Linked DNA regions of Macaca fascicularis. The main gene of each other region encodes a partner of the protein of the gene in region 6 in a complex. Links are inferred from orthologs where the notes say so. Each region holds a gene or a part of one and is shown on either strand. Other genes may lie near its edges.

The links.
Region 1: NUP188 (region 6) and NUP107 share a complex: the UniProt entries of both Homo sapiens proteins name them as parts of the nuclear pore complex. The link is inferred for Macaca fascicularis from reciprocal best matches to the Homo sapiens genes NUP188 and NUP107.
Region 2: NUP188 (region 6) and NUP93 share a complex: the UniProt entries of both Homo sapiens proteins name them as parts of the nuclear pore complex. The link is inferred for Macaca fascicularis from reciprocal best matches to the Homo sapiens genes NUP188 and NUP93.
Region 3: NUP188 (region 6) and NUP205 share a complex: the UniProt entries of both Homo sapiens proteins name them as parts of the nuclear pore complex. The link is inferred for Macaca fascicularis from reciprocal best matches to the Homo sapiens genes NUP188 and NUP205.
Region 4: NUP188 (region 6) and NUP85 share a complex: the UniProt entries of both Homo sapiens proteins name them as parts of the nuclear pore complex. The link is inferred for Macaca fascicularis from reciprocal best matches to the Homo sapiens genes NUP188 and NUP85.
Region 5: NUP188 (region 6) and NUP160 share a complex: the UniProt entries of both Homo sapiens proteins name them as parts of the nuclear pore complex. The link is inferred for Macaca fascicularis from reciprocal best matches to the Homo sapiens genes NUP188 and NUP160.
Region 7: NUP188 (region 6) and NUP98 share a complex: the UniProt entries of both Homo sapiens proteins name them as parts of the nuclear pore complex. The link is inferred for Macaca fascicularis from reciprocal best matches to the Homo sapiens genes NUP188 and NUP98.

The regions. Positions count from the first base shown.
Region 1 is NC_088385.1:75,448,107-75,452,092, reverse strand, and holds the start of NUP107 (nuclear pore complex protein Nup107), read right to left. Parts: upstream 2,801-3,986; 5' UTR 2,713-2,800; coding exon 2,705-2,712; intron 790-2,704; coding exon 698-789; intron 218-697; coding exon 131-217; intron 1-130. UniProt on the Homo sapiens protein: Plays a role in the nuclear pore complex (NPC) assembly and/or maintenance. Required for the assembly of peripheral proteins into the NPC. May anchor NUP62 to the NPC. Involved in nephrogenesis.
Region 2 is NC_088394.1:52,837,994-52,842,045, reverse strand, and holds the start of NUP93 (nuclear pore complex protein Nup93), read right to left. Parts: upstream 2,801-4,052; 5' UTR 2,718-2,800; intron 1-2,717. UniProt on the Homo sapiens protein: Plays a role in the nuclear pore complex (NPC) assembly and/or maintenance. May anchor nucleoporins, but not NUP153 and TPR, to the NPC. During renal development, regulates podocyte migration and proliferation through SMAD4 signaling.
Region 3 is NC_088377.1:177,231,740-177,236,009, reverse strand, and holds the start of NUP205 (nuclear pore complex protein Nup205), read right to left. Parts: upstream 2,801-4,270; 5' UTR 2,784-2,800; coding exon 2,756-2,783; intron 1-2,755. UniProt on the Homo sapiens protein: Plays a role in the nuclear pore complex (NPC) assembly and/or maintenance. May anchor NUP62 and other nucleoporins, but not NUP153 and TPR, to the NPC.
Region 4 is NC_088390.1:81,621,188-81,624,687, reverse strand, and holds part of NUP85 (nuclear pore complex protein Nup85), read right to left. Parts: intron 1,273-3,500; coding exon 1,189-1,272; intron 1,063-1,188; exon of another isoform or gene 1,036-1,062; coding exon 970-1,035; coding exon of another isoform or gene 871-969; intron 780-870; coding exon 628-779; intron 1-627. UniProt on the Homo sapiens protein: Essential component of the nuclear pore complex (NPC) that seems to be required for NPC assembly and maintenance. As part of the NPC Nup107-160 subcomplex plays a role in RNA export and in tethering NUP96/Nup98 and NUP153 to the nucleus.
Region 5 is NC_088388.1:17,983,618-17,987,662, reverse strand, and holds the start of NUP160 (nuclear pore complex protein Nup160), read right to left. Parts: upstream 2,801-4,045; 5' UTR 2,672-2,800; coding exon 2,470-2,671; intron 2,211-2,469; coding exon 2,099-2,210; intron 1-2,098. UniProt on the Homo sapiens protein: Functions as a component of the nuclear pore complex (NPC). Involved in poly(A)+ RNA transport.
Region 6 is NC_088389.1:14,949,179-14,952,678, reverse strand, and holds part of NUP188 (nucleoporin NUP188), read left to right. Parts: coding exon 1-138; intron 139-812; coding exon 813-882; intron 883-1,289; coding exon 1,290-1,357; intron 1,358-1,754; coding exon 1,755-1,950; intron 1,951-3,500. UniProt on the Homo sapiens protein: Component of the nuclear pore complex (NPC), a complex required for the trafficking across the nuclear envelope. Required for proper protein transport into the nucleus.
Region 7 is NC_088388.1:70,596,318-70,599,232, reverse strand, and holds the end of NUP98 (nuclear pore complex protein Nup98-Nup96), read right to left. Parts: intron 2,104-2,915; coding exon 1,992-2,103; intron 1,865-1,991; coding exon 1,647-1,864; 3' UTR 501-1,646; downstream 1-500. UniProt on the Homo sapiens protein: Plays a role in the nuclear pore complex (NPC) assembly and/or maintenance. NUP98 and NUP96 are involved in the bidirectional transport across the NPC. May anchor NUP153 and TPR to the NPC.

The DNA.
Region 1 (3,986 bases), on a different chromosome or scaffold from region 6:
AACTGCAATCATTATTATTAGTGTTTATTGATATTGTAACCAAATACTATACTTATCATGTTACAATAAATGTTAGTTGCTATTATAATTATCATTATTATTAAATGCTTTAAAAGCAAAAAAGTCTTACAAGGCTGTCGAAATGAGCTAGGAGTTCGAGGGATAACCTGGTTTCTTGGTGTAGTATTACCGAAACTTTCATCTTGAGATGCCTGAACTGTACAATGAGTTAAGAAAAGTTTTCCATGTAGAAAAGATTAAAATGAGAATTAACCATCTTTTTACTATACAAATTATGTGAATACATTTTTCAAGAACAAGGTATTTTACGGCTACCATTTTTCAATGCAAAGGGTAAATAACCCATTCCTTCTGCCATTTAAATTCTCAGACGTCAGTCTTAGATAGCTACACACTGAACTAAATGTTTTTAGTCAGTTTTCAAATAATAAAAATCTCAGCAGAAGCTAACCACAATATGATAGTCAGCAGTAAGAAATATCTTTATTTTTAAGGAAATATAATCTTATTAAATTTTTGCATTATATTTACCTAATGACAGCTCTGTGGAGTGAAAAAAATTTCTACAGGATTTTATTATAGCTAACATTTAATACTCTTATAAAAAGAAAATTCTATAACACTGATTCCAAACATGTTACAATTTTTATAATGATGCTTAAATCGCAAAGGATACTTAAAACTCTTTTTTGAGCACTCTGTTTCCGTGCAGTCCGTGTCACCTCTGCCTCCCGGATTACAGGGGATGATATATCTCCAAAGCCACTCCTAAAGTAGTATAATCAAGCTTATATAAGTGAAACAAGAATATAGCATTTGTAAAGAATTTTATCATCACAGCTGGAGTAAAGGACCCTGAGTAAGTTAAGATATAGGTCATTCCAGTAGCCAAGTCTTGGATCTTTTGCTGAGAATGCACTCGTGGCTCCAAATCCTGCTTATTCTTCAAAGTCTTACTCAAATGTTACCTGCACAAAGATTTCTCTGACTTTCTAGTACTCACTATGTTATTTTCTCCTAAAGAATTATTTCAACACTTGGAATCTATATTATAACACTGTTTTAGGTAATTGCTTCATAAAAGTGAATCTTATTTCCCTGGTTGGATTGAGAAGTTACCTAATTGCAGGAATTCTCTCTTCAAAGATTTTCTGCAGAATCCAAAATGCTTTAAACCATGGGTACTATTAAAAAACAAACAACAACAACCAGACAACAACCACCACCAGACAACAACAACAACCAGAGCTTGTGAGATACAACCACAACAACAAACAGAGCTTGTGAGATAGAAGAGTAAGTAAAAAAATTCTGGTAAATTGTAGCAAAATGACCCTTCAAGTTATTTCAACCAAAGAGGTCTCCTGTCCCATCACAACACTCTGTCAGTTTCACTCAAAGGTCTAGAAACTAAATTGTGTGGACTAAAAGGCCTGTGTTTAAGACAAGAATCTAATATGCTTTTCCTCCACTTAAAACCTTCAGATATTCCTTCAGCAGGAAAGTATGGGAAACAACCCCATAGAAAAAATTTTAAATGTTTAATAATTAAAATTAAAAAACAAAACAAACAAAAAACCTACAGATAGCTCTCTCTGGTTTATAGAAGTGCAAATTTCCTAAAATGATATTTACAATGTGACCCCAGTTTAGGCGTTCAGTCTTCTATTCAGCCACAAACATCACTCTAAACATATACTGCATGTGACCACTGAGCTACATGTACTTTTGTTTTTCATATACTAGCACCTTTGAATATGTTTCTTTTACAAAGACCTACATTTGCCCCCTTGGGCACCTGGTCAACAACTAATTACTCCTCAAAGAGCCTCAGGTAGGCTGGAGACACACAGAGGCAGGTTGGCAATTTGGTTCTTGTATTTATTAGCTTCCTAACTTTCAGCAAATTCCTTAACCTCTTTTAGTCTCAGTATTATATATGAAAAAGGGATAACAGTACCTATCCTCATAGGATTGCTCTTGTTCTGAAGATTAAATAAACTGATAATATATATTCAAAGCCAACAATGGCAGTCATATAGTAGGTACTCAATGTTTGGAGTACGAATAATGTACTATTATTATGCAAAGACCAGCTAGAAAGTTACCTTCTTTGAGAGGTCTTTCTGATAGAGTGACAGGGAGACTTAATCGCCCCCAAACACTTATCACTTTATACCGCTTGGTTGTCTCCACTACACAACTAATTCCCCGAGGTGAAGGATCTTGAATAACTGATCTTTGTTGCAGGCGGCTAGCACAGTACCCAGATCACAGAGGGAACTCAGTATCTGATGCTAGCACGTAATCAGAAAGTCTGAGCTGAGATCCCAGTATCTTCACTGACTGGCTTTGTGATCACAGGCTGGTCACTTAGCATTTCGAACGCCGGGCTACCTACCCCGCCCACCCCAGGAGCGATCAGTGTTGCTGCCCCAAAGCGCCGAATAGATCGCAGAACGTAGTGGGAATGTAGGGGACCATTATGATCCGTACCCCACCCGACGCAGGCCAAGCGGCCTTTCCCCATTTGTAGCCAAATTTCCCGGCATGGGGAAGGAGTCTTAGGGGAAGCACCCGGGACCTCCTTGGCTTCTTCTGGGAGTCTAGTTTCACCTATTTCGTTTCGCCAACAGGCGAGAGGGGCAAGGCTTTGGGTTCAGCTGCCATCCTCAGAACTGACCTGTCCATGGCTAAAGCCTTTTCCACACAGAATAAATGTCGGCTCCAGTTTAGCTACCGCGTTTTAGCCTTCCCGCTCTCCGGAAGCAAGCCCTTCGACCCGGAAGCAGTCTCTCCCTAAAATAGCCCCACAGAAAAGGGGTAGGGGAGAAGAAACGACGTTCCCATCTAGCGCATGGGCGACTTCAGCCTACAGGTGCCGGCCCGGTGGGCGCAGGCGCAAAAGCTTGCCAATGTGTGCCTGGCTGGACCAGACAGGGCCGGGGGCGGGACCTGGTTGCGTTTAGCCCAGACGCCTTGCGGCCGCTTTGCCTGACCAACGTCTGTGGGCGTGGAACAGGCCCTGGGTTCTCCTACTGGGAAAAATGAAGCATGTTGATAGTCTGGAAAAACGTGAAGTCATTTCCTGGTATTCTCTGTCAGAAAGCGCCTGTTCTTGGAATTCAGATGCGTGGGCTCTGCCCCACACCTCGGGAATCTCTTATCTCTCTCCCTACACTCAGTCCTTTGTTCTCTAGCCCCCTGCAGTTTTTGAAACTGTTTTCCATAACTGCTATTTGTTCTTTACTTGGTATTCTTTTCTATTAAGGAGAAACAGTTCACCTGTATTAAAAAGTAGAAAGGCAAGCGTAAAACATGATGGTATTGCCCTCTATTTCAAAGTGCCGTCTAGGCAAAAAGTGGTATATTTTGGTCTTGAAGGAGTCAGTCACATTTTTGTTTCTGTTTTTGTTTTTTCCAGTTTGAAAGTAGCGACTGGCTATTAACTGACCAGATTACAAAAATAACGTTAGATGCTTCAGTTTATCCGTTTAATAAGCCTGTTGATATGGTCTTTTCTGTTGCTGGCATTTGTACTTTTTAGTAATACAGAATAGGTAGTCATTCTCCCTCGTGGAGAAGATAATTTGAAGGATCACAGGAACTTGAAGAGTTTTTCAACAGCATAGATCTCATGAATCAGATTCTCCAGTCAGATGATGCCATATTTATCAAGAAATCTATCAATCAAAGAGTTATCTGTTAAGGTAATTTGTTTATTGGTTTTGCCATAACCAATTTGTAGATCAGTTCATTTATTGATTTCAGGTTCAGGTACTCTATGCGATGTATGGTTCCACAATAGTCAGCATGTTAACTGAAGCCTTGAGTTTAGCAGAGGTGCCATGGAAGATCTGGGGAAAGTGAAGAGGTTTTGACAGACTTTTGGGCTCACACCATTGATACCTTAAGGCAAGTGACAATTTGGATTTCACAGGTATATAGAAATTGCCAGCTTTTCT
Region 2 (4,052 bases), on a different chromosome or scaffold from region 6:
GTAGTTGTGATTATTTCATCACACATATGTCTCCCTCTCTAGCGGCAAATTTCCTATATGGTAAGGTCCACAGATGCTCAACTCTTGAGTCTTCAGCATTAAGTCTGGCACATAATAGGTACCAGATACATGTTTGTTGAATTAAAGTGGCCTGTTCCCTGAACACACCTTGTGAAAGATCTTCCTTCTAACTCCATATTCTTTAAATAAACTTTTTCATGAGGAGTGACCCCTCTCACCTTCAGATCTTTGCTCCAACCTGTCCCTCTCCTTGGCACATCCATTAACCTTATTTTCTATGTTAGTCCATCAAGAAGCTGGTTCAGACCCTCAGACTCACTACATCTCCAGCTGCTCACACTGCAGGGGCTTTGCACTTGCTCTACCCCCTACCAGCAGTGCTCTCAGATAGTTCAATGACTTGCTCATTCATTTCAAGCAGGTCTCTATTCAAATATCCCTGTCCTCCTTTAAGAAACAGCCCTGACATCACACTTCCTATCTGTGCTTTTATTGCTAGTGGTACCCTCCATAGGCATATCAGTTCAATGAGGGCAGGCCTGTCTCATTCACCACTGCATCCCCATGCCTGCCAGAGTGCCAGTAACATTCATCTAGTTCATATTTTTTGAGCACCTACTGTGTGCCAGACCTAGGTGCTAGGAACACATCAGGGAACAAAACAGATAAAAATCTCCTCACATTCTACAGGGGGAGGACAACAATACACAAGAAAAATACATAAAATATAAGTGCTAAGAACAACTAAAGCAATGAAGGGAGGTGGGAAATGGGGAAAGCCTCACTAGGTACCTCCCTAGTAAAGACCTGGAAGAAGTGAGTGCAAACTACATGGATATTAACTTGCAAGCACAAAGGCCCTAGGCCAAAGCATGTCTAACGTGTGAAAGGAGAGGGAGCAGAAAATGAGACTGAGAAAGTAACAGTGGGTCAGATTATGTAAAGCCTTATAGCTCACTGTAAAGGGGTTAGTCTATCATATTAATGAGATGGGGACCCATTGGAGGGATTTTTTTTTTTTTTAAGTAAAGGAATGATACAATCTGACAGCCTGTGTTTTAAAAAGATCCCTCTAGCTGCTGTGCAAAAAATAGGGGCCAGGACAGAAGCAGGAAGACCAAATGGGAAACGATTTCAATAATCCAAACCAGAGGTGGTGACTTGGCCCAGGGTGGCAAGTACTATTTGTGGCGTTAATCACAGAGGGCTGGGTGTGGTGGCCCACACCTGTAATTTCAACACTTTCGTGGGAGGCTGAAACGGCAGATCACTTGAGGCCAGGAGTTCGAGACCAGCCTGGCCAACATGGTGAAATCCCGTCTCTACTAAAAATACAAAACTTAGCCAGGCGAGGTGGCACACGCCTGTAGTCCCAGCTACTTGGGAGTCCGAGGCAGGAGCATCACTTGAGCCTGGGAAGCAGAGGTTGCAGTGACACGATGACACGAGATCGCACCACTGCACTACAGCCTGAGCAACCGAGGGAGACTGTCTCAAAAGAAAAAAAAAAAAAAAGAAAGAAAACAAAAAGAAAGAGAGCAGTCAACGATGGCTCAAAGGTTATTAGCCAGAGTCTTTCCTATTATTGAGATGAAAGAAAGGGCAACAGGAGCAGTTTGGGGAGGGTAATGAAGGGGAGCTTCCTAGCCCTCTCTTGGCATGTTTAATTTGAGTTGCCTATCATCCATCTCAGCGGAGATATTAAGTGGGTGGCTGGATAAAGGTCAGGGGTGAGGCCAGCGATGGAGATATAAATAAGGAACCTGTTAGCCTCTGATATGTAGGTATTTAATGCTATGAGATCACCATCAATGAAAATAAAAATATTGCAAACACAAATGCACAAAGGAAGATTTAAAGAAAAAAAATAAAGAAGAAAAGCTAGGATGACCGAGGATACCCTCCCACATCCCCCGGAAAGAATACAAAAAGGTGATCCTCGCTTTTGCTGAAAGACAACTCGGTCAAAACAAAGATTAAATAAATAAAACCTCCTTCTCACGTCTAGCAGAAGGGCAAACCCAGACCAGAGACTCTGTCAACGGGTCTTTCACACTTTCACCAAGGACCCATGGGGCCGGCCCCATAATTTTTCCAAAAGACAGCCAGTGAACTTGGGCTTCCCCTTTGCAGAGGACGGGATGGAGTAAGCACAGAGAAGGGTGGGCCACCCCTGGGTTCCAACCACTAGCATCCTCTTGGATGTACAAAAGGTAAGCCAAGGGTTGGGAGAAGTTGCACTCGCCCCAAAGACCCCTTCCCTCGCAGGGCAATGCCTCTCTAGAGGGTATGTCCACGAGGGGTAGGCGAGCAGGCAGGGCACGGTCAGGAAGGTAAGCAGGCAGGCATTGTGGCGCAGGCTTAGGAAGGGTGGGCTCGCGGGGCACTAGGTGGAGGTGAGGGCAGGGGCGTGGCGCGAGGGCGCCACAGTGGGGAAGGGGGAGTCGGGAGGCCTAGGTTCTGCATTCAGAAAGTGGGCGAATGAAAGGCACACCCAGGGGTGCAGCCCGACTCTTTCTGGGGCGGCTCGACAACGCGTTGTGTCGCCGGCGTCAGGCGTGCCCGGCTGCCATGAGGAGAACGGGAAGTGTGAGCTGCGGGGCTCCGAGCGTGGGTACGGCGCTCCACCCAGTCACGGGGTCCTGGGTTCAAGGACAAGCCCAGGGTCGGAAGAACGCGACCAGACACACCCTTACCTTGTACTACAGCCGTCTCCGCCGCTCAGGTGCCGGCTTGAGGACGCGGCTGCCGCTTCTCGCGCCGCTCTACCCCGCTTCCTGATTGGCCAAGGCCGGCTGCTCCCAGAAGCCCTCGCGCGGCGCGCCGCCAAATGAACTTTATGGAGACCCGTGGGGAAGGACAAGAACAGGGGCGGGGCCGGGGGCGGGACGAAGGCAGGGCCTTGGGCCAAACCGTCACCCCTGGACCACAGGCAGCCGCAGACCTCACCTTTCCCACTTGGTTAGAGTCGGCTCTGCCGGGAGAAAGCGATTCCAGAATTCCCTAAGTTAAAGGAATTTCTTACTCCTTGAGCGCCATCCAAGGGCCAAGCCCTAGTCTAGGAGCTGGGAACACAGTGGCGACCACGACAGACAAGATCGCTGCCCTCACTGAGTTCCCAGGCTGGCAGGGGAAACAAAATATAATAAATAAGTAACTGCAGTTCACAAGAAGAGCTATGAAGAAAAAACAGGGTAATGGGAGAGAGAATGCTTGGATGTTGAAGGGAGGCCTTTCTGAGGTGGTGACATGTTGAGCTGAATAAAGAAGGATGAGAAAGGATGGGGCTTGCAAAGTTCCGGCTTCAAAGAATTCCAAGCAGAGGGAACAAGAGTGAAGTCTCCAGGGGAAGCCAGCTTAGTGTTTGGAGACTAGAAAGAAGGGGTGTGTGGCTGGAAGATGGTGAGCAGGGACAAGTGGGGTCAGACTCATCCATAGACTGGATGGCTTACACACAACAGAAATTTATTTCTCACAGTTCTAGAAGCTGGGAAGCCCTAGATTAAAGCACCCGCAGATTCAGTGTCTGCTGAGGGCCTGCCTCCTAATTCATAAATAGCACTTGATATGGTTTGGCTCTGTGTCCTCACCCAAATCTCACCTTGAATTATAATCCCCATAATCTCCACATGTCAAGGGTGAGACCAGGTGGAGGTAACCAGATCATGGGGGGCAGTTTCTGGCATGCTGTTCTCGCGATAGTAAGTCTCATGGGATCTGGTGGTTTCATAAGCGTCTGGCATTTCACCTGCTTGCACTCACTGTCTCTCTTGCCGCCCTGTGAGCAGGTGCCTTCCACCATAATTGTAAGTTTCCTGAGGACTCCCCAACCACGCGGAACTGTGAGTCAATTAAACCTCGTTTCTTTTTAAATGACCTGGTCTCAGGTATTTCTTCACAGCAGCATGAGAACAGACTAATATAGCACTCTTCTCCCTGTAACCACACACAGAAGAAGGGTGAGGGGATCTCTCCAATATTTCTTTTATAAGGGCTCTAATTCCATTCATGAGGGCTTCACTCTTATGGCC
Region 3 (4,270 bases), on a different chromosome or scaffold from region 6:
ACCATAGGTCTTAGAACTCTACAATCTCTATATTTTTTCCTTACAACTCTAAGATGTTTGATTTTTTAAAACTAATTTAAAGGAAGCACATAACACAGAATGCAATCTCCACATATTTTAAGTGTACAGTTCAGCAGTGTTAAGCATATTCACATTGTGCAACAGATCTTCAAAGCTTTTTTCATCTTGCAAAATAGAAACTCTATGCCCCCTAAACAACTCCCCATTTTCCCCTTTCCCAGCTCCTGGCAACCACCATTCTACTTTCTGTTTCTATGAGTTTGACTACTTCAGATACCTCATATAAGTGGAATCATGCAGTATTTGTGTCTTGTGACTGGCTTATTTCACTTAGTATGTCCTCAAGATTCATCCACATTGTTTTATGTGACAGGATTTCCTTCCTTTTTAAGGCTGCATAAAGATATTATGTATATGCATGTATACGTTATGTATATGCATATACATTATGTATACTGCATGTATATGACACATTTCCTTTACCCACTCAACCCGACATTCATTACTTGATGGAAAAAGAGTTCCTTCCCTACCACGTTTAGTTTTTTAAAAAAACCACCTCCTGACTCTTGGCTTTTAAAACTCTTGGTTTTACCGCTAACACGGTAAAACCCCGTCTCTACTAAAAATACCAAAAAAAATTAGCCCGGCGCGGTGGTGGGCGCCTGTAGTCCCAACCACTCCGGAGGCTGAGGCCGGACATTCCTTGAACCCGGGAGGCGGAGCTTGCAGTGAGTGGCGATCGCGCCACTGCACTCCAGCCTGGGCGACAGAGCGAGACTCCGTCTCAAAATAATAATAATAATAATAAGCCAGGCTAGCCAAGCATGGTGGCAGGCGCCTGTAATCCCAGTTACTTCGAAGGCTGAGGCAGGAGAATTGCTCGAACCCGGGAGGCTGAGGCTGCAGTGAGCCGAGATCATGCTACTGCACTCCAGCCTGGGTGACAGGGTGAGACTCCATCTCAAAAAGAGAAAAAAAAGAAAGGAAAATAAATGTATATACCCTGCGCGCTGGCTCACACCTGTAAACCTACCACTTTGGGAGGCAGAGGCAGAAGGATAGCGTGAGGACAGCAGTTCGAGATCAGCCTAGACAACATGGAGAAACCCTGCGTCTACTAAAAATACAAAAATTAGCCCAGCGTGGTGGCACGTGCCTGTAATTCCAGCTACTCGGGAGGCTGAGGCAGGAGAATTGCTTGAACCTGGGAGGCAGAGGTTGCAGCGAGCCGGGATCGCATCACTGCACTCCAGCCTGGGAGGCAGAGCAAGACCCCATCTCAAAAACAAAAAATTAAAAAATAAAATAAAATAGAGAAATTATATATAACCACACGTATAACACGCAACCCTTGCTTTTAAGCATATCTAATTGGGAAGGAAGGACAGCAATATTAAGCATGTAACTTCATTACTAACCTTCTAATATATGTCTAATATCATAAAATGAATTAGGTTGTGCTTAAGTAGTAGCACTAAGTAGTTTAAGCACCTAAGACTGGCTTAGAATCATTAGATGTTTAACTCTGGGGACATTACGTAACTATTTGAAGTCTCTATTTCCAAATCTGTAAAATGGTGTATTTAACAGCAACTACTCCAAAGGGCAACTGAATGAGATAAGCACAATAATAAGCGTAAAGCTGGGATATAGTATGTGCTCAGTAAGCATAGCTTTCATTATAATTTATCACAGCGTTTCTGAAATGATTTGATTTACAAAGCAGATTTAGACAACTTTTCGAGAATATCAGTCCTGTGGAAAATAGAACCAATACTTTAAAAAGTGACTGTAAAGAAACAGAAAATGCACCCAGGAAAGAGTCCTTTTAAGTGAGATTCTTACAAGCATTTATCACACAAATGTACTCTTAATCTTGCCCGCGAAGTTCTGAGCATCTCAACCGAGGCATTAACATTCTAAGCGCCAAATTCTTTCCCCGGACTGCTCTGCCCATGAAGGACTTTCTGCATCCTTGCTCCGCCTACTATGCGACAGCAGCGTACCCCAGGAAATATGACAATCAAAATGCACTCACTCATTCAGACACCACTGGAGGGCGGTACCGCCCGAATTGAGAATCACCAAAAGAGGATCCACCCCAAATCTTCCAGAGTTCCTTTACTACCTTCTAGATTCAATTCCACCCCGAAAATCTACAGCTCCAAAGGTACAAGAATATCCAGGGCCTAACCACACCCGCAGAGTTAGGAGACGTCCGCTGAAGCCCCGCCACCCTCTTCCTGACCACCTTTCAGATGGCCGACTTCATCATCGGGAGTATTCGCTGCCTGCAAGATCTCCCACCCTCTAAGAACACCGGCGCCTACTTTCAGCCTCTGCTCGTGGCTGGAAAATATCTCGGGTCCTTTGGCTTCACTGCTGAAGACCTGACGCTATTCCGGCGAAATCTGGACCACAGACGCACAGTGGAACTTGGGGGTAAGGGGGCCAGGCTTAGCCCTGGGCTGTGAGAGATTAAACACCTGGGTCCAGCGGCCCAAGCCTCACTGCCTCGACTCTCAAACGCCAACTCAAGGGCTAGAGCCGCAGCACCGACGCGCGCCATTCAAACTGGGGAGGGGTGAGACTCTAGGCCCAGAATTAGGGAAAAGGAGGCACCGCACATAAGTTGGGTCCTAGACTCCGAGAAACCCCACGGTCTCGTCTCTCCCTGAAGACCTGGTCATCGCTCAGCTCAATCATCTCCTTTCTGTCTGGCCACACTTACCCGAATTTACCGCCAAAGGCGTCGCCATCTTAGAGGCGCACTAACAGAGCCCTTCTGCCGCATGGAGGCCCCAGGAAGGGGTGAGGCTGCCCTGAGTGAAGCCTGAACAAAAAGGCACCAGGCTGTCCCCTCCACGCTGGGCCGTCCCAGGCGTACAGAAGGCTCCAGAATCTGCTCTGGGTCACAAGTATCAATTTTCATTGGGATTATTCCCATTCAAATAAGGCAAGGGCAACCACTTCAGAGACACGAGGTCCTCGATCGGACGTTCATCGTGTAGTGCATCCTGGGACTTGTAGTTTCTTTCTAATGATGAATTGGTTAAGTGGAGAGGAAAAAGTAAAGTGGAATAGAAAAAGATATTCTGAGAGTAGTTATTAAAATGACGCCCACTTATGAGATTATAAAAGCCGTAAATTCAAATCATTAGCTCCGTTTCAAGTTCAATCTTCCTTACAGTGGGGAGTGGAGTAAGGTGTGAAGTGTCTACACCTCAAAAAGTCATTGACCAGTTAAAAACTAAGTTTCCGTGACATTTCAATTTACCAAGTATGTTGTGTCAACATAGTTGCGTAGAGCGAAACAAATCATAATTTTTAACTATAAAATTTTCAAATGGATACAAAATTAGCATAGTGAACAGGCAGCATCAATAACGTGGCCAATTTCCCACCACGGCAGCCCCAACCCACCCTTACCACCCCAGCACCTTATCCTCCCCACCCCCCGCCCCCGATTATTTTGAAACAAATTCCAGACATATCGTTTCATAATCACCAAGTATGTTTCTACCTGAGCAACCAAAGTAGCTGAACTCTCTTTCCTCAGTTGTTAAATTTTAGTTTACTGATTTTCAAACTAAAATATAATCATTGCTATTTACAGCTATGTATTAAGAATTTTACAGCCATTATTTCATTTAATCTCTGCAAACCATTCTATTGGGAAAATGATCTGATTATAGCTATGTCAGCGATGTTCCATGTGCCTTACAATCTCATTGTATCAACTCTCCATCATTCCCATTTCACTGTTGGAAATTAGAATCAAATAATTTAGACAAAAGCACAGAGTATGTTAACAATATCCAGAACTGGCTGGGTGCGATGGCTCATGCCTGTAATACCAGCACTTTGGGAGGCCAAGGTGGGCGGATCACTTAAGGTCAGGTGTTTGAGACCAGCCTGGGCAGCATGGTGAAACCCCGTCTCTACTAAAAATATAAAAATTAGCCAGGCGTGGCGGCACGCACCTGTAACCCCCAGCTGTTCGGGAGGCTGAGGCAGGAGAATCCCTTGAACCTCGGAGGTGGAGGTTGCAGTGAGCTGAGATCATACCACTGCACTCCAGCCTAGGCAACAGAGTGAGTGAGACTCCATTTCAAACAAACAAACAAAAAAGAATATCCAGAACAGAATATTTATTATTTTGGACAAATAATATCAAGTGACACAATGTACATTAAGTTTGAAACACAAAAGTCACTGGTGATTTTTTTCCAGAAGTCATTGTTAT
Region 4 (3,500 bases), on a different chromosome or scaffold from region 6:
GGACTGGCTCCGTGAGTGTGTGTGGCTTCAAGGGTAGCAAAAGATTTTTGTTTCTCCCTACGTGTCAGCTCTTCTATTACCTCTCCAGATGCCTCAAATCCTATCTTCCTGTGGATCATGAATACCATATGCTTTCAGAAATGGTCGTGAACATGCCAACTGTCTCTCTGCAGGGTAGTAACTCATGTTTACATCACTCAACAGTGAGGGGAGAAAGGAAGGGGCAGACTTGGTCATCTTCATTCCACTCTCTCTGCTTTTCTGGAGCCACCTCCAGCACTGCTTCCCCATTGAGCCTGGCTGAGATAGCAATAGCAACCCACCTGGACAGGGAAATAGCGCCGACCCCAGCCCTGACCTCGTGGAATCAAGTGTGTGAGAAAAGGGGCGGCTCACGCCTTTCCAGGTGGTGTGTAGATTTTGTCTCGGTTCCAGAGGATCCCTAGCTTTCCTGTCCCTCCCAAATAATTATCCCATCTCTTAGTTTACCTCTTGGCGTCCACAGCCCCACCTCTCTCCAGTGTGGCTCGTGAGGAGGAGAATGGCTGGGGTAGGCACAAAGTGTGACCTCAGGGTCCCAACTCCCACGTCCCACAGATGGTAAGGCTGGGAGCAGGGCCAGCTCACCTTGTTCAGTCATCTGCCGCTGCTCACAGATCCGCAGCACCTTGAGGGCTTTCTGCTCAGTGTTCAGAGGTATCCGCTCAATGTGCAGCTCCAGGGAGACTCGGCCCAGCTTGGGGCAGTAATCAAAGTAATCCACCCCCAGCTGCCACAGGCTGCAAAGGTTCAAGGAAGACAGACATGAGGTGCTGCCTCGTGGCTCTGGGGACTGGCACCTGCAGCTCCCTTTCACTGACCCTTCTGTAGCCTGCAGGGAGCCAACCTGGAGAGAACAGTCCAAGCTCCAGTGGCACCCGCATGCTGAAGAGCACACGGCACAGCCTGCACCCGTGGGAGCCTTCCTACCTGGGATGAGCGAACAGTCCAGAGGCGTACTCCAGCAGGAGGAACTCTCTCATGTTGGAACCGAAACTGGAATAAAACATACCAAAAGACCAAGACTCCGGGCCTGCCCTGTTCAGGGCCCCCTTCCTCAGCCCAACCTCCCTTCCAGGCATTCAGTTCACCCCACCCTCGAGGGCTCGGTGGTAAGAGGAGGAGGATTGGTGCGTCCAGGCCACTTACTAGAGGTTGTGTGACTGGAGGAGCTTGCAGTGGTCCAGCAGGTCTGTCAGGTGGGCCACAAACCACCAGTTGCTCAGGGCGATGCTGCAGATTCAGATACCAAAGCAAGAAGGAGAGTCAGGGCAGAGGCCGTGTCCCACAAGAGCGGGGGTGAGCAAGAACCCCACATGTCCTATCCCTCAGAGAGATGGGGCCGGGTGTGATGGTAGCTCATGCCCATGATCCCAGTACTTTGGGAGGCCAAGGCAGGCGGATCACCTGAGCCCAAGAATTTAAGACTAGCCTGGCCGGGCGCGGTGGCTCAAGCCTGTAATCCCAGCACTTTGGGAGGCCGAGACGGGCGGATCACTAGGTCAGGAGATCGAGACCATCCTGGCGAACACGGTGAAACCCCGTCTCTACTAAAAAATACAAAAAACTAGCCGGGCGAGGCGGCGGGCGCCTGTAGTCCCAGCTACTCGGGAGGCTGAGGCAGGAGAATGGCGTAAACCCGGGGGGCGGAGTTTGCAGTGAGCTGAGATCCGGCCACTGCACTCCAGCCCGGGCGACAGAGCCAGACTCCGTCTCAAAAAAAAAAAAAAAAAAAAAAAAAAAAAAAAGACTAGCCTGGGCAAAATGGCAAAACCCCATCTCTAAAAATATAAAAATTAGCCAGGTGTGGTGGAACACACCTGTAATCCCAGCTACTCGAGAAGCTGGGGTGGGAGGATTGCTTGAGCCTGGGAAGCAGAGGCTGCAATAGGCCGAGATCACACCACTGCACTCCAACTTGGGTGAGAGAGCACAAGCATATCTCAAAAAAAAAAAAAAAAAAAAAAAATTGCTCAGAAAGTAGTTGAGACGGAGTCTTGCTCTGTCACCCAGGTGGGAGTGCACTGGTGAGATCTCGACTCACTGCAACCTCTACCTCCCGGGTTCAAGCAATTCTCATGCCTCAGCCTCCCCAGTAGCTGAGGTTACAGGCATGCGCTGCCACACCCAGCCAGAAAGCAGCTTTTGAATGTTCTCACCACACGCACACCAAAAGGGTCACTATGTGAGGTGACGGATGTGCTCACTAGCTTAATTTCACAATGTACACGTCTATCAAAACATGTTGTACACCTTGGCTGGGCACAGTGGCTCACTCCTGTAATCCCAACATTTTGGGAGGCCGAGGTGGATGGATCACTCGAGCTCAGGAGTTTGAGACCAGCCTGGCCAACATGGCAAAACCCCATCTCCACCAAAAATACAAAAGTTAGCTGGGCGTGGTGGCGAGTGCCTGTGGTCCCAGCTACTCAGAAGGCTGAGGCAGAAGATGGCTTGAGCCCAGGAGGCAGAGGTTGCAGTGAGCTGAGATCGCACCACTGCACTCCAGCCTGAGCGACAGGACAAGACACTGTCTTTAAAACAAACAAACAAAAAAAGTTGTATACCTTAAATACATACTACTTTGTTAATCACACCTCAATAAAGCTGGGGAAAAAAATGGGGAGTGGGCTGGCCCAGGGGAAAGGACACCTCAGCTTCTCAAAACAGCTGTTGCTACCCAGATTTATAGCTGATGGTTATGTCAAAACCATTAGAGAAGCCAGTGAAAAGGCTATAGGGGACCCAGGCTAAGGGAACCAAAGCCTTAGCCTGCATGAAAGTCACCCGCCAGTGGAAGGAAGGGCTGAGACGGTGCCCGGTGTCTTCCCAAAGGATCCAGCAGCCTCCCAGGCTGGAAGGCAGCAAGCACTGAGGGCCTCTGCCCACAATACAACTCAAGTGACGGAGACCAGACCTAGTGCTGCACAAGGCCACCACGGTCTCCCCGCAGGGCCCAGCAGGCCTGAACCATACAGTTAGGTCTTAGATCTCTCTCTCTCACACACACACACACACACACACACACACACACACACACTCTCTCTCTCTCTGAAGGATTCTGAGTGAGCAGCTGAGACGCAGAGCAGGCGGGCAACCTCAACATTCAAGGCAGGAAAGGCCTAATTATCAGCTCCGAAGTAGCCCTCTACTGAAAACGAAAGAACGCTGTGGAGTTGGGAAGACCAGCTACGATGAAGGTGACCCCCCTGGGCAACCATAGCCCCAAATGAGCTGTTTGTCCTGTACTAAGGTCACTGTCAACTCCTTACCCAGGCCCCATCTTGCTTGTTGGGGGCCCTGGAGTAATCAAAGCTCCAGAGCCTCTGCCTGCTATTCTGGAAATGGGGTGTGAGGTTTGCAAACACTGCTGCACCCTGCATCCAAGGTTGTGTGCTGGGCCAAAAAACAAGTCAGAAGATTCTAGATTCAGCAGACATTGAACTGGAACTCTTCTTGGT
Region 5 (4,045 bases), on a different chromosome or scaffold from region 6:
TCTTACCCTGTTTCCCAAGCTGGAGTGCAGTGGCATGATCAGATCCTCCCGCCTCAGCCTCCTGAGTGGTTAAGATGAAAGGCACATGCCACCCCGCCTGGCTAATTTTTAAAAATCAGGCCGGCCATGGTGGCTCCGCCTGTAATCCCAGCAAGTTGGGAGGCCGAGAATGGGGCACTGCTTGAGTTCGGCAGTCCAAGACCAGCCTGGGCAACCAGGCAAAACCCCATCTCTACAAAAACAAATAGAAAAATCAGCTGGGCATGGTGGCGCATACCTGTAATTGCAGCTACTTGGGAGGCTGAGGTGGGAGGGTCACTTGAACCCAGGAGGCGGAGACTGCAGTGAGCCATGATTGCACCACTGCACTCCAGCCTGGACAATGGAGCCACCAGACTGTCTCTCAAAAAGAAAAGAAAAAAAAACAGAAAGAAAAAAGAAAAAAAATTGTAGAAATGGGGTCTTGAACTCCTGGCCTCAAGAGATCCTCCCACCTCAGCCCCCCAAAGTGCTGGGATTACAGGTGTGAGCCACTGTGCCCAGCCAAAATATTTAACTAAATGAAATTTGTATCTCTAACATAAAGTCTCTCTTTTGAGCCTTAGACCTGTAAATTTCAATGCCTACTTGACATTTCCAAAGGGCTGCTCCCCAGGTACTTCAAATTTACTATGTCCAACAGAATTATTCATATCTTTCCAAAATCCATCTTCTATGGATCTCTGTAAATGGCAACCCCTCCCCACTCACATCTGGTTAGTCACATGAGACACCAGGGAGCTGTCCTTGTTCTCTCCTTTTCTTTTACCATCCCTTACCCCATATTCAATCCACCACCAAGTCCTAGTGAATCTATCTTCCAAAGGTATCTTGAATCCATCTACTTTTCTATTTCTATTCATTCCCACAATTGAACCACCAGCAACCCTTACTTGGGCCATCATAAAAGCAAACTTTTTTTTGCATTATACCCATCTAATCCAAATCCACTTTCCACAAAGTAGACTGAGATCTTCTAAAAATACATTTTAAAAAATTTAGATTCAGGGGTACATGTGCAGCTTTGTTACATGAGTATATTGTGTATATATTCCTATCTACATGAGGTTTGGGCTTCTAATGATCCTGCCGCCCAAGTTGTGAACACAGTAACTGATAGGTTTTCCAACCTCTGCTCCCCCGCTCCTTTTGGAATCCCCAGTGTTAACTGTTCCCATCCAAAAATGCAATTTTGATGTTAGTAACTCTTTAAAAACCTATTCCATTATTACTCAATGTACTTAGGATAAAATCCAAAAATCCTTAAAAATGGCCTAAGGGTCCCTCATGGTCCGAGTCCTGCCTACCTCTCCAGCCTCAGTATCTCACATTACTTTCTGTTTTACCCACTGCACTTAAGCCACACAGATCTTTGGTCAGTTCCAAACCTGCCACATTCTTTCCACTTTGTGACCTTTGCATATGGTGATCCTGCTTGCTGGACTCCTCTCTGTCCACTCCCCATACCTGGCTAACCTCGTGTCCTTTAGACCTCAGGGTAACTGTGAAAGCCTTTTCCTGCCCCACTAATAACATTTGGTCCTCTCATTAGCCTCTCGTAACCCCTGTATTTTTCCTCTAGGGCAAGTTTTCCTCCACAAAATTTCCCCATGAAAAGTGAGTCCACAACTATTCTGACATTGCTACAACGTCTTGCATGATGAAGATGGCAGTTTTGTTCATTTCGTCCTGGTACCTAGCACAATGCCTGACATATTGAAGCTCGAACATATTTGTTCAATGAAGGAAGCTGTAAAGCACTATAAAAACATAATGGGTTCATGTTTAAAACTAGTCTTATGGGCTTTATACCCCTAAGCTACATTCCCTCTGCTTTTGGTGTTGCTTGGTGTGTGTGTGTGTATTGGTGGGGGGGGAGGGTAAACTCTTCTAGAACTGTGTCTCAGTTTTCCCGACTCTGATACGAACTGAAAAAAAAAAACTTTCTCTTTCCCTAAGTGTCGATTACCGCTTCTAGAATAGCACTTTGGGAACAGCAACTAAAATTTACACACCAAACCCTACCTTCCAGGGGAGTTTGGCGAACCACAGCACTTACCAATGAATGAACCTGTTTCTGGTTACGGAGAACAACTTGCCACTCTCCACATAGTAAAAGCCTCCCGCGCTCTCACTGTATTTTACGGCGCCAGCCACGGCATTTGCGGTCCCTGCAAAATGAACGTGGTCAGCCTGCACACGCGTCTTCTGAGAAATGACAGGGACTAAGGGACCTGATAAAGCAGAGGGTGACAGACTGACAACCCATACAAAGAAAAGAGGAAAACGTCGGACATCAAGGAATCTCTGATCCCGGGGCTGGAGGCATGTGGACTCAGGAGGATGAACCCAGCAGTCAGAGACCCTAGGACCCATGAGAGGAGCCCGAGGGGACAGATCGGATCGCGCCCTCCCTGGCCACTTCCGTACCAATGCTGCAGACTGTGAATTCCCGAAAGTGCCTCGGCCTTTCGCGCTCAGCCCCGCTTAGCTCCACGAAGCTTCGTTCCAGGGATCCCGCCGCCGCCATCTTCCCGCCGTCGCCGCGATGCCCGACGGGACAAAGGCAGGGCCGCGCGGCCGCCGTCACTTCCGGGGGCGGGGCGGGCGGAGCTGCGGACGGGTGAAGCATCCCGGGAGCAGAAAGGGGGCTCCGGTCCTTCGTTGCGGGGCTTCCACCGGGAGAATGAGGATGGGCAGCGGGGAATCCAGAAGAGAAGCGGGCAGGGGAGGCCGACTGTATCTGCTGGAATCTTCGAGTGGCCGGCTGGAACGCCTCCGGAGGGCGGTGCCCTTTTCTCAGCGGCCGCAGGGCAGGGGGCGGGACCGGGTTTGTTTCTGTTTCCAAAACGCGGGGCTCAGTCTCCCAGGAGGGGCGAGGTCCGGGGAGGTCCGGCCTTTGGGCGTCCTCTGCCGGATCCCGGGTGTTTGGTCACCTCTCCCTCGGTTAGGGTGTCCGTCTGTAAATCTTTGCCGATCCTCCCTTCGCTCTTCAGTGGCACTTGGGTTGGCGGGGTGAGGAAGGGGTAGTGAGGGAAGGGCCTTTGGTTTTGGTCTTTTTTCCCCCCAAGAGACTGTATTCGTGTATTCCTGTATAATGAAACGTAATGTGGTAAACCTTGATGCTGCCACCTGCTGAGGTTACCTGAGTGCTACTCACTTGGATACGTGAAAAGAATTTGCCATTCATTCCAACCGTGATCTTGCACTTGGCTGTCAATGCAATAAGGGCCCATAGTGGATGTTTAGAAGATATTGTGGGGGTAGATGTTCAAAATCGGGGAAAATGCTAATCTCCAGCAGGGAAGGTTTTGTTCCTTAGTGATAGCCAACGCTTGTTGGTCACTTCTATTACCAGTGACCACAGCCATTCCCTGTCATTCTCCGTTTCATTTATCTGGTTCCGACCATCATTTCCTATCTTTCCACTTCACTCCCTCTGGGACACCAACTTTGGCAGTGCAGCCCCCTCATTCTACCTGAAATCCATTGTTATACAAGCTCTTCACTGTCCCTCACTTCTTTGGTGTTTCTTCCTTATCCTGAATACCATTAAATTACTTCATTGCCTAACTCTTCATCAGTAAAAACAACTTCGATTACATTCAAATCTGTAGCTGAACGTGCCTGAAGAAAACTATACACCAAGGTCGGGTGTGGTGGCTCACGCCTGTAATCCCAGCACTTTGGGAGTCCAAGACTTGAGGATCACTTGAGGTCAGGAGTTCAAGACCAGCCTGGCCAACATGGTGAAACCCGGCCTCTACGAAAAACAGAAAAATTAGCCGGGCGCAGTGGCTCACGCCTGTAATCCTAGCACTCTGGGAGGCCGAGGTGGGCAGATCACGAGGTAAGGAGTTCCAGACCCGCCTGGCCAACATGGTGAAACAGTGAGATACAAAAAATTAGCCGGGCATGGTAATGCACGCCTGTAATCCCAGCTACTCGGGAGGCTGAGGCAGGAGAATCACTTGAACCCGGGAGGCAGAGGTTGCAGTGAGCCTAG
Region 6 (3,500 bases):
TGCAGTGCTGGAGCTGATTGATTCCCAACAGCAAGATCGATACTGGTGCCCACCCCTGCTGCATCGTGCCGCCATTGCCTTTTTGCATGCTCTGTGGCAGGACCGGAGGGACAGTGCCATGCTGGTCCTCCGAACCAAGTAAGTCTGCCTCTGGGAGTAGTTTCATTGTTCTGGTCTATAAAATGGGAGTAACAATAGCTCTTATACCAGAGGTTTGTTGCGACGGTTCACTGGGAATAAGTGCTTAGTGCCTGGTTCAATACCTGGGAGTTTTATACTAATTCTCTTTCTAATGCTGCTGCCAGCATTAAGGATCTTTAAATATTAAGCACCTTGAAGGTTCAACTGCTTTTGTGTTCCTGCCTTTTGCTAACTAGCTACATCAAAACTCATTATTCTTGAGAAACAGTAGATTCAGGAGAGAGGGGCTTGCTGAAGTCACTGGATGGAATGAAACATTCTGTTCTATTGGACCTGCTGGCACAAAGGGAAGGAGTGTTAAAAGGCTAATTGGGAGTCTGCCGTCTTATTTCCCTCCCTCCTCTTCTGTGGGGCTTTTGGGAATCTACAGTGCAAGGAATCTTGAAGAGTTTTTGTTGATCAACTCTATAGTGCACAAGTGTGATTCATAAGAGGAAAATGTAATTTTATCTATGGAAACCTTTCATTTATACAGGACTAACTGACTTATCAGACACATATTAGGATTGAGACTGGTAAAATATGAAGTGACCACCAAAGGGAGCTTGAGAGAGGAGAAAAGGACTGTGAGAGGGAAAAAGTATGATTTCAAACATTTATTTCCTTTTTAGACCCAAGTTTTGGGAAAATTTAACCAGTCCACTGTTTGGAACCCTTTCTCCTCCCTCTGAAACATCAGAGGTAAGCTGTGGAAGAGGGCAGGATGGTGGCTACAAGTCCCTGGGAGGAAAGGCTATGGGCTGTGAGATGGGGCCGTAGACAATGATACCTCCCCTAATTAAACAACAGAATGTTCTCTTCACTAGAAACGTCTTTCTCAGGGAAGTGCCTGGTTTCTGTCCCTTTGATGTCTTGCTTTGGGAAGGAAAGTGGTTTGCGTTGGTGGCTCTGTGGTCTTCTCTGTTCAGTTGGAGACATTGTGGACCTGACGCTTCTGCTCTTGCAAGTCAGGCCATTCACATTCAACAGGGGTTGTACTAACTTGTTCTGCAAGTGTTGGGCTTCTGCTCTGTTCACCGTTGGATATACTGGGGGAGATTAGTGATCAGAGATGTGATCATTGCCTGTTCTGCTCTCTCTCTCCACAGCCCAGCATCCTGGAAACCTGTGCCCTCATCATGAAGATAATTTGCTTGGAGATATACTATGTAGTTAAGTGAGTACTTTCCCCTCTTGAGATTTTAACTGAAGGTTGGAGGAGTAGGAGTTGGTGACCTACCACTGGGTGCATGGCTGGAAAGAGCCAAGGCAGAGGAGAGAACTGGTTTGGAACCATTCATGGAGGCTAGTGTGCTGTGTCCCTGGCCAATCCACCGATGGCATTTATGATTGTCAGAAAGAGTTATTGTGAAACAAACTCCATGCAACTCAGATTTTATGGAGGAGGAATCCTGGAAAGGCCTCAGCCTAACCCACACATTGGAGGTGTCCTGGAGCTGGTCTGCCTTTAAGCCCATGCGAGGTTGTTTTCTCTGCCTCAACAAGGGTCTGTACCCATTATATTCCCATCTACTTTCAAAACCTAACTGGAGGTTTTTTTCTTGACACTGTAGGGGTTCATTAGACCAGTCATTAAAAGATACACTCAAGAAATTTTCCATCGAGAAACGCTTTGCCTACTGGTCAGGGTATGTCAAGTCATTGGCAGTTCACGTGGCCGAAACAGAAGGCAGCAGCTGCACCTCCTTGTTAGAGTACCAGATGCTGGTGTCCGCCTGGAGGATGCTTCTCATCATTGCCACCACTCATGTAAGACCCTTTTGGGGAGAGTTTTCACTTTGATACCTTACCAATGATGTGTTGAGATACCTAGCAGATATAGCTCCTTGTGAGAAAGAATTAATCAGGGTTTATCCCTGAAAGCTAAACTGTAATAGGTTCTATGCTGATAAATTGGGGCTGTGGGGTATTTGAGGGTGTTGGGTCCAAGAGACCATTAAGAGGAGTGCAGAGAAGTGATCTGAAATCCTTTCAGAGTTCCTGAAGCCTCCTGTACCTCCCTTGGGCCTTGGCTGGGTCTTAACTGCTCCCTGGCTGCAAATGCCTCTTATACAAAGGCATAACTGCCTTCTTGTGCTGTGTACCTTGTAGACGCTAGGTCAATAAGTACTTGTTGACTAGTCAGCAGGAAGCTGTGACAGCTGCAGCAGTACCTTCTCTAAAAAGCAGTTTGTCATTGGTTCTAGAAACTGCATTTCGGCCGGGCGCGGTGGCTCAAGCCTGTAATCCCAGCACTTTGGGAGGCTGAGACGGGCGGATCATGAGGTCAGGAGATCGAGACCATCCTGGCTAACCCGGTGAAACTCCGTCTCTACTAAAAAATACAAAAAACTAGCCGGGCGAGGTGGCGGGCGCCTGTAGTCCCAGCTACTCGGGAGGCTGAGGCAGGAGAATGGCGGGAACCCGGGAGGCGGAGCTTGCAGTGAGCTGAGATCTGGCCACTGCACTCCAGCCTGGGCGACAGAGCGAGACTCCGTCTCAAAAAAAAAAAAAAAAAAAAAAAAAAAAAAGAAACTGCATTTCTTGGTCTTAGAAAAAGAACAAAGACCATTGTCTCTGTACTCTGTCTACTGGGAGTTGGTTTTGAGAGAGAGATAACATCTGGAAGAAATGCATTGTTCTTGGCTTTTTTGTGGTTTGACACCATCATACTGTATCATAAGGACTTGGTATTGATTCCTTGGGGTATCCAGATTAACTTTTTTTTTAGATTAACTTTTTTTTTTTGACTTCATGAACAACTTCAGCTTGATAGATGCCTCCTTGTTCCAAGCACCTCCTACATCTGTGAGATTTGTTTCCTAGTGCCAGACTGCCCACATGCCTGGAGCTTTGAGCCTGGAAGGGGCAGGTTTGTGGCTACTGTTGCTGTGGCATAGTGGTTTTGGACTCCTAAGACTCCATAACACACTTAAAGGCTCACCTGTCTTTGAGAATGGTTAATTCCCCAGGGTATAAGCTTTATGTCACCTGCCTTTTAGGCCCTAGTTAGGCAGCAGTTCTTGAATTGTAGCTCTCAAAAATCTCACCATCCTCTTTCCCCCAAGGAAACCTATCTGACTCTCTCTCTCTCTGACCTGTCTACCTATGCAAAAGAAAAGAAAAAAAAAAGAGAAAGAAACCTAAGTCCAAGATGTTGTTCACCCGTTCATTCTCTTAATGGCATTAGTGGAATGCTTCCAGGCATTGGGATACAGCAGTGAATAAGGCAGATAAGATCTTTGATCGCATTGAGAGTGCCCTATGATGGAGGAGGTAAATTATAAACAAATTCACCACTTAAAAATATGGTTTCAGAT
Region 7 (2,915 bases), on a different chromosome or scaffold from region 6:
ATTTGCTCATATCTTCAGCTTGACAAATCAAAATAAGATCTGGAATAGTACTCATGCTACTCAATTGATTCCTCTTGAAAACAGCCCTGTGTGAAGTAACATCAGGGATCATTATCCCCTTTACAAAAGGGAATCCGACTTAGAAAGGTGAAGCGTCACTCAAGGTTTAAAAACAAAACCACTACAGTAGAAGAGCGAGGAGGCTTTGAATGGTATATTCTATTGGGCAATTTGAGACCTGGAAATCTATATGTATAAATATATGTACAGCAATCAGTATTAATCAATAATCAACTCCCTTGCCCCTAAATCTCCCCTTATAAATCTAGCCTTTGGGCTAATCTATCTCTCAGTTTAGCACCAAATAGTTCTCTCTTTAACCCAAGGCCTGTCTCCATTTAGAAGGCAAATTCAAAAACAGGCTAAATCAAACAAGGCCATCATAAAGATCCTCAGGGCAAGAAGGCTCAAAAATACAAAGGGAAAGCCAATACCAGGAATGCTATAAACATTTTATTTATTTATTTTTTAAGAAAGTAACTTCAGAAAAAGAGGAAAATATCTAGATCATTTATTTATACATATATATATTTTTTAATAAAAACCTTTACATAATCTTCATGCATAAAGACCCAGGTGTGGCCATATTGCCTGAGACAGCCCTAACACCAGCTATCTCATGCCATTACCTGGGGCTCCCTATAGCTGTCAGCAGTGTAGCAAAGGCCCTCTGCCTGCCCCTAACGCCCAACTCCATGCCTGCCTCAGTCATGGTTTGCTTCTGGAAGGGATGATGGAGGGTGGAAAATGCTTTAGAGCTAACATGGGATGAACAGGGAGGGTTACCCAACCTGCCATTTTTAATCCAAACTCTTCAGGCAAATCCAGACAGACTCTCAGCAAGATGACTGAAAACCAGGGACCAAACCAAATTCTGGGAGCTTCCCATAGACATGTCACATATGACCAAGGGCTCCTGCACATAGTAGTAGCAAAGGTATGGTGTTCATGGAACACTAAAGGCAGGAACAAAAGAAGCTCTGAAGATCAATCCCTCCATGGCAGGCATTCACTTCTGCCCTAAGTGTGTCAGAAAGATCCCATTCTGTTTCCTAACTCAGGCCAACCCTCCTCTGCCTCCAAAATTCAGTGTTAACTAACCAATTACTTAAGAGACGGATCCCTCTTCCTTCTGTGGATAGTTCACCTGTTAAGGATCCATTACTACCTGTCTCACTCCTCCTAAGGAGTCCTAGCATAAAAGGGCCAGGGTAGGAGTAGGGTAGCTGGTTGGCATGGAGGGTCACAAGATCCAGAATGGCTAGGGGTGAAAAAGGATTCCCTGGTTCTTTGGGGGATTCTGCCAAAGGAGCTTTATTGACCATTTATTAAAAGGAAAAACACTGGTCTTGAGGATGGTAAAAAGAGAATTGTCTCCTCTTCTGGGTTCCAGAAGCCCTTATGCTATGTTTAGTATTAAGAAAAGCCCTGAACAACTGGAGGATGCTGCTTGTGGCAGCAGGGAAGGAGGGCAGATGCCATAGCCAACCCAGAGAATGGCAAACAGTGCCAATCCAAACAAGGCAGGGAACCTCTGTGTGGTGAGTGTGAACGGGCATGTGAGTGTGATGCAAAGAGTCTGGGGCTCACAGGCTCCCAACAGCGAGTTCTCGCAGATAGGACTGGGTAAGGCTGCGCAGTTCGTCCATGGCATAGTCCTCAGGCATGGGGAGCCGGCCAATGTGGGGAGCCAAGAGGCGCAAAGGGACTCGCTGAGGGTCTGGTGTTGAGTCGGAGGTTCTATCAGGAGCATGATGCAGACTCAGCACCACCCGCAGCAGGTTGGCTACACGTTTGGCCATGTCTAGAGAGAAAAACTAGAGTTAAGCACTGAGCATGGGTCTAGAGAACGGTGGCAGGCACTGAGGGTGGGGTGTAAGATAAAAACAGGAAGCAAGAAGGCAGAAAAAGTGAGGAGATTAGAGGCTTACCTGACTGAGCTAGGCGATCTTTAGCATTGTAACACTGAATCTGCTCTATGCGACTGCACAGTGAAGTCACTTTGATGTGTAACTGCTCCAGGTCATAACCTGAGCAATCCACCTACAAAGAAGCAGAGAAGTCAATTAATCCAAGGGGAGTTCCTATCACTCAACACCACCTATAGACTCTATACAAAACCTTGAAACAACAGTGAGGTGAGGGAGGGGAAAATCCAAGAAGATGACACAGGGTCAAGCCACCACCATCTAGTGGAGGACAAGGCACTAATTATGCAGTAATAAAGAGGAAGGTAACATAGTGTACACAGCCTTGGACTAGGAAAGTCTTGAGATCCCGAACGATACAGCAAGCTTTAATAATACAGCAAGCTTTAATAATACAGCACCAAAAATCAAGATAAACTGGGTTCAGAGAGATGGTATGACTTCTTAAGAGCACACAGGAAGTAAAAAATGCAGCCTGAACCAACATTTAATTTAGGTCCCCTGACTCCAAGTTTATAGCCTTTTCTTTTTTTTTTTTTTTTTTTGAGACGGAGTCTCGCTCTGTCACCCAGGCTGGAGTGCAGTGGCGGGATCTCAGCTCACTGCAAGCTCTGCCTCCCGGGTTCACGCCATTCTCCTGCCTCAGCCTCCCAAGTAGCTGGGACTACAGGCGCCTGCCACCTCGCCCGGCTAAGTTTTTGTATTTTTAGTAGAGACGGGGTTTCACTGTGTTAGCCAGGATGGTCTCGATCTCCTGACCTCGTGATCCGCCCGTCTCGGCCTCCCAAAGTGCTGGGATTACAGGCTTGAGCCACCGCGCCTGGCCTAGCCTTTTCTAAAACACCAAAAAAGCTGGGTGCAGGCAGCAGGAGGATCAAGAGCAAGACAAATTATTTGCTCTCATGAAACTGACAGAAACTAAATAAG